Linked DNA regions of Arabidopsis thaliana. The protein of the gene in region 1 interacts with the protein of each later gene in a pairwise test. Each region holds a gene or a part of one and is shown on either strand. Other genes may lie near its edges. The genes, in order: AT4G03170 and MYB39.

The links.
Region 2: the proteins of AT4G03170 (region 1) and MYB39 interact in a two-hybrid assay, tested with the Arabidopsis thaliana proteins (one large-scale study listed by BioGRID).

Annotation. Positions count from the first base shown.
Region 1 is NC_003075.7:1,399,171-1,402,370, reverse strand, and holds AT4G03170 (AP2/B3-like transcriptional factor family protein), read right to left. Parts: upstream 1,540-3,200; coding exon 787-1,539; downstream 1-786. Other genes in the region: AT4G03175 (Protein kinase superfamily protein), read left to right, coding at 5-184; AT4G03165 (uncharacterized protein), read left to right, coding at 2,080-2,138, 2,273-2,597, 2,925-2,993.
Region 2 is NC_003075.7:9,881,064-9,885,519, reverse strand, and holds MYB39 (myb domain protein 39), read left to right. Parts: upstream 1-2,087; 5' UTR 2,088-2,151; coding exon 2,152-2,417; intron 2,418-2,752; coding exon 2,753-3,532; coding exon of another isoform or gene 3,533-3,536; exon of another isoform or gene 3,537-3,616; coding exon 3,617-3,653; 3' UTR 3,654-3,921; downstream 3,922-4,456. Other genes in the region: AT4G17780 (F-box and associated interaction domains-containing protein), read left to right, coding at 4,065-4,456.

The DNA.
Region 1 (3,200 bases):
TTAGGAGAGCAATGAGATTGAATACATAATCACAGAAGAATCAAGCTTGGAAGAACAACTACAAGTTAGTGATGAATTGTTCTTAGATTTTGTAAGGACTCTACTTGAGATCAATCCTTTGAGACGTCCAACAGCTCTCGAGGCACTTAACCACCCTTGGCTCTCTTCTTCTTCTTACAACTGATTTTGCTTCTTCTTGTGTTGGTTGTTTGGTTTTGTCTTATTCTTTGTTTCTCCAGTTTTTTTCCCTCTTGGAATCTTGCTTGTGATTTTTGTATTGTTTAGTCGCTGTAATTGTGAGATTAATATGTGTATAGAACGGTTTTTACATTGATTTCACATTGTAAGTAAAAAGCTTGTGTGGTGCAATATTTTATAACCTTGATACATACATAGTTTAGATCAAATTAAACGTTGGAGCTACGACCATATAATGTGCATATATTCTCTGACCAGTGACGACCATATATGATCCATCATTTTGGTACCTTATCAAATATCAATTATCTATGTTTAAGATCATTGTAGACCGAATAGCGAAGCAAATCCTAATTAATATCCTGGTAACAAAAACGCAGGAAAAAGAAAGAAGCAAAAACCTCAAAAACCCTAATTTGGATTCAAGAAAGCAGTCTTCAAGATCCTTGTAGACCGAATAGGGAAGCAAACCCTAGTTAATACCCTGGTAGTTCCACTAGTTAACACAGAAAAAGAAAGAAACAAAAACCTCAAAAATCCTAATTTGGATTCAAGAAAGCAGTCTTCAAGATCATCCCACTCGATAAATTAATCTCTTAAAGAAAATTTAACGTAGTGAATAGCAAAGCAAAGCTTTCGAGTCTTTATGTGCCTAAACATCCAAACAGTGACAAAATCACAAGTCATCGAAAGACCATAATCTTCCACAAACTGCTTCCACCCTGAAGTTAACACAGGTGTTTTATCCCCATTCCACATCTTGAACTCCATCTGTTGAACTTTCCCGTCTGGTCCATACACCGAAACATCAATCCCCTTTACCGGATTCTCTGAATCTTCTAGAAAAGGAAGCATCTTCTCCTTCACTTGCTCCTTCGATAACATGAGCATGCATTGATCTTTATCGACATCGCTCGACATCAACTGCTTCTTTATCGGTCTGCTGAATAGCCTCGTCACCTCATTATCGCCGAATATATCTTGTGGATCGAGTTCAGCTTCGTACCATACCTCAATTAACCTCAGAGTTTCTTCTGAAAAGTCATGGATATTTATTTTCATCATGTTCTGTTTCTTAAACCTCTTAGGTTGATTTTTTTCAGTTTCTTCTTCCCTCTCCCTAGACTGCTTTTGATTAGCTTGGCTTTCTTGTAATAATGGAAGGGACGCAACCTCATAGTCTTCATCATCTATAACCTCGTCATCTATATCGTCTTCATCATCTATATCCTCTTCACGATCTATAATATCTTGCATCAATTGTGCTAATATTTCTGTAGCCGAGGTAGCTTCTTCATCTTCTTGTGTTGAACTTGTCGGTTTACCTGTTGAATTCGCCATGATCGATCTCTCACGTTCTCTCTATCTTACCTTGCTGAAGAATCTATATATTTTTAGGGTTTGTTTTTTTCCTTCTTTCTAGCAAATCAATTCCTTTTATACTTAGGTTTTCCATTTATATTATTAAAAAAAAAATCAACTTTTTAATCGATAAAATAATTATTTTAAGTCTGTAAAAATACTGCTTTGTTTTATGTGTGTATTTTCGAAAACGTTAATGACTAGAAATAATTCCTATATCATACATGTATATGCCAAGTTTTGATCCGAGGTCAGTGACAACTGACAAATCAATACTCACAAAGAATCTGGACTGAAAGTTGTGGAGTATGCAGAAGAAGTCAAGTCTTGACAGCAGAACAGTCTAAGCTTCAAAGTAGAAGAGAAACCAGTGTGTGTCAGAGGTAAAAAGTAAGAATAGACAAGAGAGGTTCTTACAAGCTGAGAAGTGCATCTCAAACATGATGAAAAGCTGAAAAGAACATCATGATAAGAATCAGACCTGCAAATTCGTGCCCTGCAGGTGTTATAAGAAGCTTCATGGGTAGTCAACAAGATGACTCTGTGCTGGCAGTGAGAAGGACACAAAGAAGCTGCAGGTCTGTTTAAACAGCAAAGAGCAAAATAGTCCTAAGGTGAAAAGTGACTGTAAATCTGTTTATGAAACTGATCAAGACAAAAGAATATCATTTCTTCTAATTGAATTCACAGCAGGTGAAATCATAAGTCACAGGAGAACAAAGGTTCAAGAGGCTGTTGTTTTCAGTTTTGCAGAAGAAACACAAGTAGTAAACAGGATGAGAAAGCTGTTTGCAGAAGATGGTTTTCAACAAGCCATTGTTGAAGTTTATTGTGATTCTAAGAGTGAGTCTACTCTGGTCAAGATCATAGTATGCTTAAGAAGATTAAAGGGGGTTGATACCAGCAGGCAAGTCATAGGAGAAATGATTGCAGAGTTGGTATTCAAGGTTGTTAGGAGTGAAAAAGCTTATCAAGCTGAGAATATCACTAAAGTGACAACAGGGAGAATGCTTCAAGCAGATAAGGAGCTTTTCAAAGTATCACAATCCTGAGAAGATCTCAGGGACCAAGATGGAACTCAAGGAATCTAGAAAGGTGAAGTAAAGGATTCGACACTACGGCAAGGTGGAGTTTTGTGAGGTTTTGCCTAAAGTGTCTAAGAGTATCTAACCCAAGTAGAAGGTTTCAGCCAAAAGGAACAAAATCATGTCTTTATTTAATTTCCAGATGTAACTCTTCTGAAGAAAGTGGTGTCATGGATCTTCGGCTGTTGATTCTAAGGCACTCTTAATGTTTGTTTATATGTCCATAAATGTTAGTGAGATCATATTCTTATAAATGTTATTGCTTCCATCATTTTGTAGGATGGTTTGGTTTTTGATGATGATGATGATGATCAAGAATTTGACATTATCAAGGATTTTGGTTGTTGATAACAATGATGATGTTTGTTTGGTATTGAATCTCTGGTTGAATCATAATGCAGAGGTTTAGAAAAACTCTCAAGTGGAAGGTGTTAACTAGGGTCTATGTAATGTGGAAGTCTTATGTTATCTTTGTTTCCCTTTTATGAGTCATGAGTAAATACAGTTTTCCTTCTACCAATTCTCATATTATCCGTCTTTCTCCTAAACAGCAGG
Region 2 (4,456 bases), 8.5 Mb from region 1:
ACGTACGCTAACAGTTGTTCTCTAATTGAAACCAGTTTCCAGCTTTTATGACTTTAACATACGTTGGATGGTCGTTGGAACTTGGAAGATACTCTTGGTGCCTCAAGCGACCTTCACTGTTTTCTATATGGTGCAAGTTTATAATTCAAAGATCGATCGGTTTCCAAAGATGTTCAAGAGTAGGAACAAAAATCCAAACAAGAAAAAAGATAACCGATCTAGACTGAAAGTTTATACAATGTTATGAACTCATTTGAATTCGGAAGTCAATTTTAGCTACAGAGACCGAAAGAGTGAAGCAGCCATTGAATTACAAATTGACGACTATGTATCTGTTGCGTAAGCCGCGTAACAATAACATTACATAGAATTTTAAGGCTTGTCTTATCTATACTCGTTGACAATGTCAAATAAATATAGCATAGGAATTTTATACTATATGGTGCTACTAATTACATGGAACCCTTAATATATACGACTGTTTAAATAGTCAACGTGATAAATAGAGAGTTGGTAAGTGTTTGGTTTTAATTTGACAATGTGAAACAAGCCTGAACATTGACCCTTTAAACCATAACAGTAATTTAACGGTAAAAAAATAGTAATTAAGTATGTAAACAAGATCTTCCGTGAGAGTGAAATTAAACCTCATTATTTAAATTATACTAGTAAACATTTTCTCCAACCGTAGGAAATTTCGTTTTATGTTTTTTTTCTAATTTGTCGTGATCCTTCTCATTCCTTTGAAGACAACAAGATTCTATTATGAAAGATTTTTTCAAAGATCCAATAGTATAATACAACGTAATATATAATACCAACTTTATAGTTACACCTTCTAATAAAATCCACTTACTCGTTTATGTGTTCCTCACGCTATCGACTTAATGTTTGGAACCCGCGAGAGAAGTTCTTTAATTAAATTAGTCAATCGAAAAAAGCTATCCATTTCCTTTATCAAAGTAAATCAATTCGAAAATCTCGTATTAACTTGATCATCCAAATCCATATGTATATTTTCGAATAATATAAAACAGAAATTGAGATAACCTATACTAAAGAGAGTTTCACGTAAAAAATTTATATTTTCACGTAACAAAAAATTACAAAACAATTAAACAAAAAACAAATGATAATAGCATAGGTAATTTTTTGTGACTTGAAATTCAGAACGTATGGTAGGCACAAACGACGGTTTGGTAACAATAAGGAGAATAATAATAATCTTCGTTTGAATTCAAATAGAGGAAGAAGAAGCGAAAGGGTAGGCTTTGATCAACCATGAGACATTGAAGCAGGTAGAGATAATTCTTTGAATGCGGTGGAAGCAATCACATAATGATAAATGCAAGATTCCAATTTTGATGAACTTTGCAATGAGAACATAATATTGCTTTTCAATTAAATATTAGTTAAATATACCCTTCAAGAAAAGTAGTTAACAAGTTTAATTTATAATCATGCATTTATGCGAAATTCTTATTTGTAGGTTTTAATCTAAATAGAGAAATATACACATATATAGGAAATATTCAAAAATGATCACATGCATGTTTAATTTTTGAAAAATGTGGCTTTCTTTTATAACATAATTTCAATAAGATTAGTTTGAATTGCAGATTATGAAATAGTATATAATTTGTGATTGTTTTACAAGTAAAAGAGCGTAAGAAATTTGGTCCCAAAAAAAAAAGATTTTAGTAGGGAAATATCAACATTTTATTCTAACATAGCTAGGGCAAATATTTTATACATCTAACCCACAATAACAAAATCCATTAATGCATTAACAATTATTCGTATTCTTTTATATAAAAATTATTTGTTTGAACATCATCCCCACGAATTACTCTTCGAAGTTCGAACGCCATGACACATATCATATTATCAGTACCTAATCTTGATTTTGTTATAACTATTTTGGTTATTTAACTGATTTATTGAATGACTCATATATTGTAGACTTATGACACACTATGAAAAATAATATTTACACCAAATTCTGACGAATGCATACACAACTTTACTTTAGTTATGTCATGACTGCTTTTCACATCTATATATACATACAAACCTAATCGTAGGGAGCGACGAAACGAAGATCATATCTTCAAAAACCTCTGATAAGTTTTGGTTCTTGATATAAACAAAATGGGAAGATCACCGTGTTGCGATCAAGACAAAGGCGTGAAGAAAGGACCGTGGCTGCCAGAAGAAGATGATAAGCTCACTGCTTATATAAACGAGAATGGTTATGGGAATTGGCGGTCGCTTCCTAAGCTCGCTGGACTTAACCGCTGTGGCAAGAGCTGTCGGCTCCGGTGGATGAATTATCTCCGGCCTGATATCCGGAGAGGCAAATTTTCCGATGGAGAAGAGAGTACTATCGTTAGACTCCATGCCCTCCTTGGCAACAAGTAAGACTATTTTTTTTTCGTTAAAGCTTTTATGCTATTTTGTTAGCACTAAATGATTTAGGTCTCGCTTGTTTCAGACGTAATTATGTGTTCCTGTTTACATGTTTTTTTCATAATTTTAAAATATAAACCATTTTCAGTTCTTTTAAAATTAATATAAAGTGCAAAAACAAATTTACGTATGGATACCATTGCATAGTTTATTATTGCTATTATAGAATTCACATCCTCAAGACTATAGTCTAAACTTTAGTTTATAATTCTCTAACCATACAAAAGGTTAAGTTTTCGTTGGTTCATTTTACTAACGTTTGAGTCGAATTTTTACCATACAGATGGTCGAAAATTGCGGGTCATCTTCCAGGAAGAACAGATAATGAAATTAAAAACTATTGGAACACTCATATGAGGAAGAAGTTATTGCAAATGGGGATTGATCCAGTGACGCACGAGCCAAGAACCAACGATCTTAGCCCTATCCTCGATGTTTCTCAAATGCTCGCGGCAGCAATCAACAATGGCCAATTTGGTAACAATAACCTCCTCAACAATAACACCGCTTTGGAAGATATTCTTAAACTCCAATTGATCCATAAAATGCTTCAAATCATAACCCCCAAAGCCATACCAAACATCAGTAGCTTCAAGACCAATTTACTGAATCCTAAACCAGAACCGGTAGTCAATAGCTTCAATACCAATTCAGTGAATCCTAAACCGGATCCCCCGGCTGGTCTTTTCATAAACCAAAGTGGAATCACTCCTGAGGCCGCCTCGGATTTCATTCCATCTTATGAAAATGTTTGGGATGGTTTTGAAGATAACCAGCTTCCTGGTTTGGTTACGGTTTCTCAAGAGAGTTTAAATACAGCAAAACCGGGTACCAGTACGACCACCAAGGTAAATGATCATATCAGAACCGGTATGATGCCGTGTTACTATGGTGATCAACTACTAGAAACCCCATCTACTGGTTCGGTATCGGTCTCTCCCGAGACAACCAGTTTGAACCATCCCAGTACAGCTCAACACTCATCCGGTTCAGATTTCCTAGAGGACTGGGAGAAGTTTCTTGATGATGAAACAAGTGATTCTTGCTGGAAAAGTTTCTTAGAGTAAGATCTATCTCCGCATTGATTAACATAGTATATGATTTATATTTATGGTTTATTAACAGAATTGTTTTATCTAATCTGCAGCTTAACGTCACCCACATCGTCACCTGTCCCATGGTAGAACTGGATTTTGTTCGGGTCGTATACTCATAGTTTTAAAGACAATACATACACAAAGATATTCGATTAATACTCTTAATTTTGTTTGTTATTAAATATTGATTTAAAGTTTGTATATTTTCTTGTAAAGGAATTCTTATTTGTAATTTGTTCTTATTTGGTTTGGTTGTTGTGTAAAGAAACACATTGTAATCACCATTCTATTATTGCCCATTTAATAACAATATTTTGGATAAATATCTACGAGCAGTCTAATTTATACAATCAAACAACTCTATGGAAACATAACTTGATTCACAAGTTTAATAAAAATTCACCTATTTGCCAATAAGGAAATATATTAAAATGTCAATCTCTCGATGTTTCTAACAGAAAGATTGACAAAAAATCAAAAAACAAACAGTCACCAAGAATGGAGGAAGAAGAGAAAAACCCTAGTTCGATCTACATAGTTGCCGATCTTCTAGAAGATATATTCCTTCGACTTCCCTTGAAATCCATTCTCATATCGAAAAGCGTCTCAAAACGATGGAGATCAATTCTTGAGTCGAAGACGTTCGTGGAGAGACGAATGAGTCTTCAAAAGAAGCGCAAAATCCTGGCTGCTTACAACTGCAAATGCGGCTGGGAGCCTAGGCTCCTCCCCGGGTCGTCGCAGTGCAAAGGGAACGAAGAGATCGTCTATCTGCACTGCAACGCCGCACAACCCTCGTTTACTTGCGACGGTTTGGTCTGCATTCTCGAACCACGTTGGATAGACGTTTTGAACCCCTGGACAAGGCAACTCCGGCGATACGGATTCGG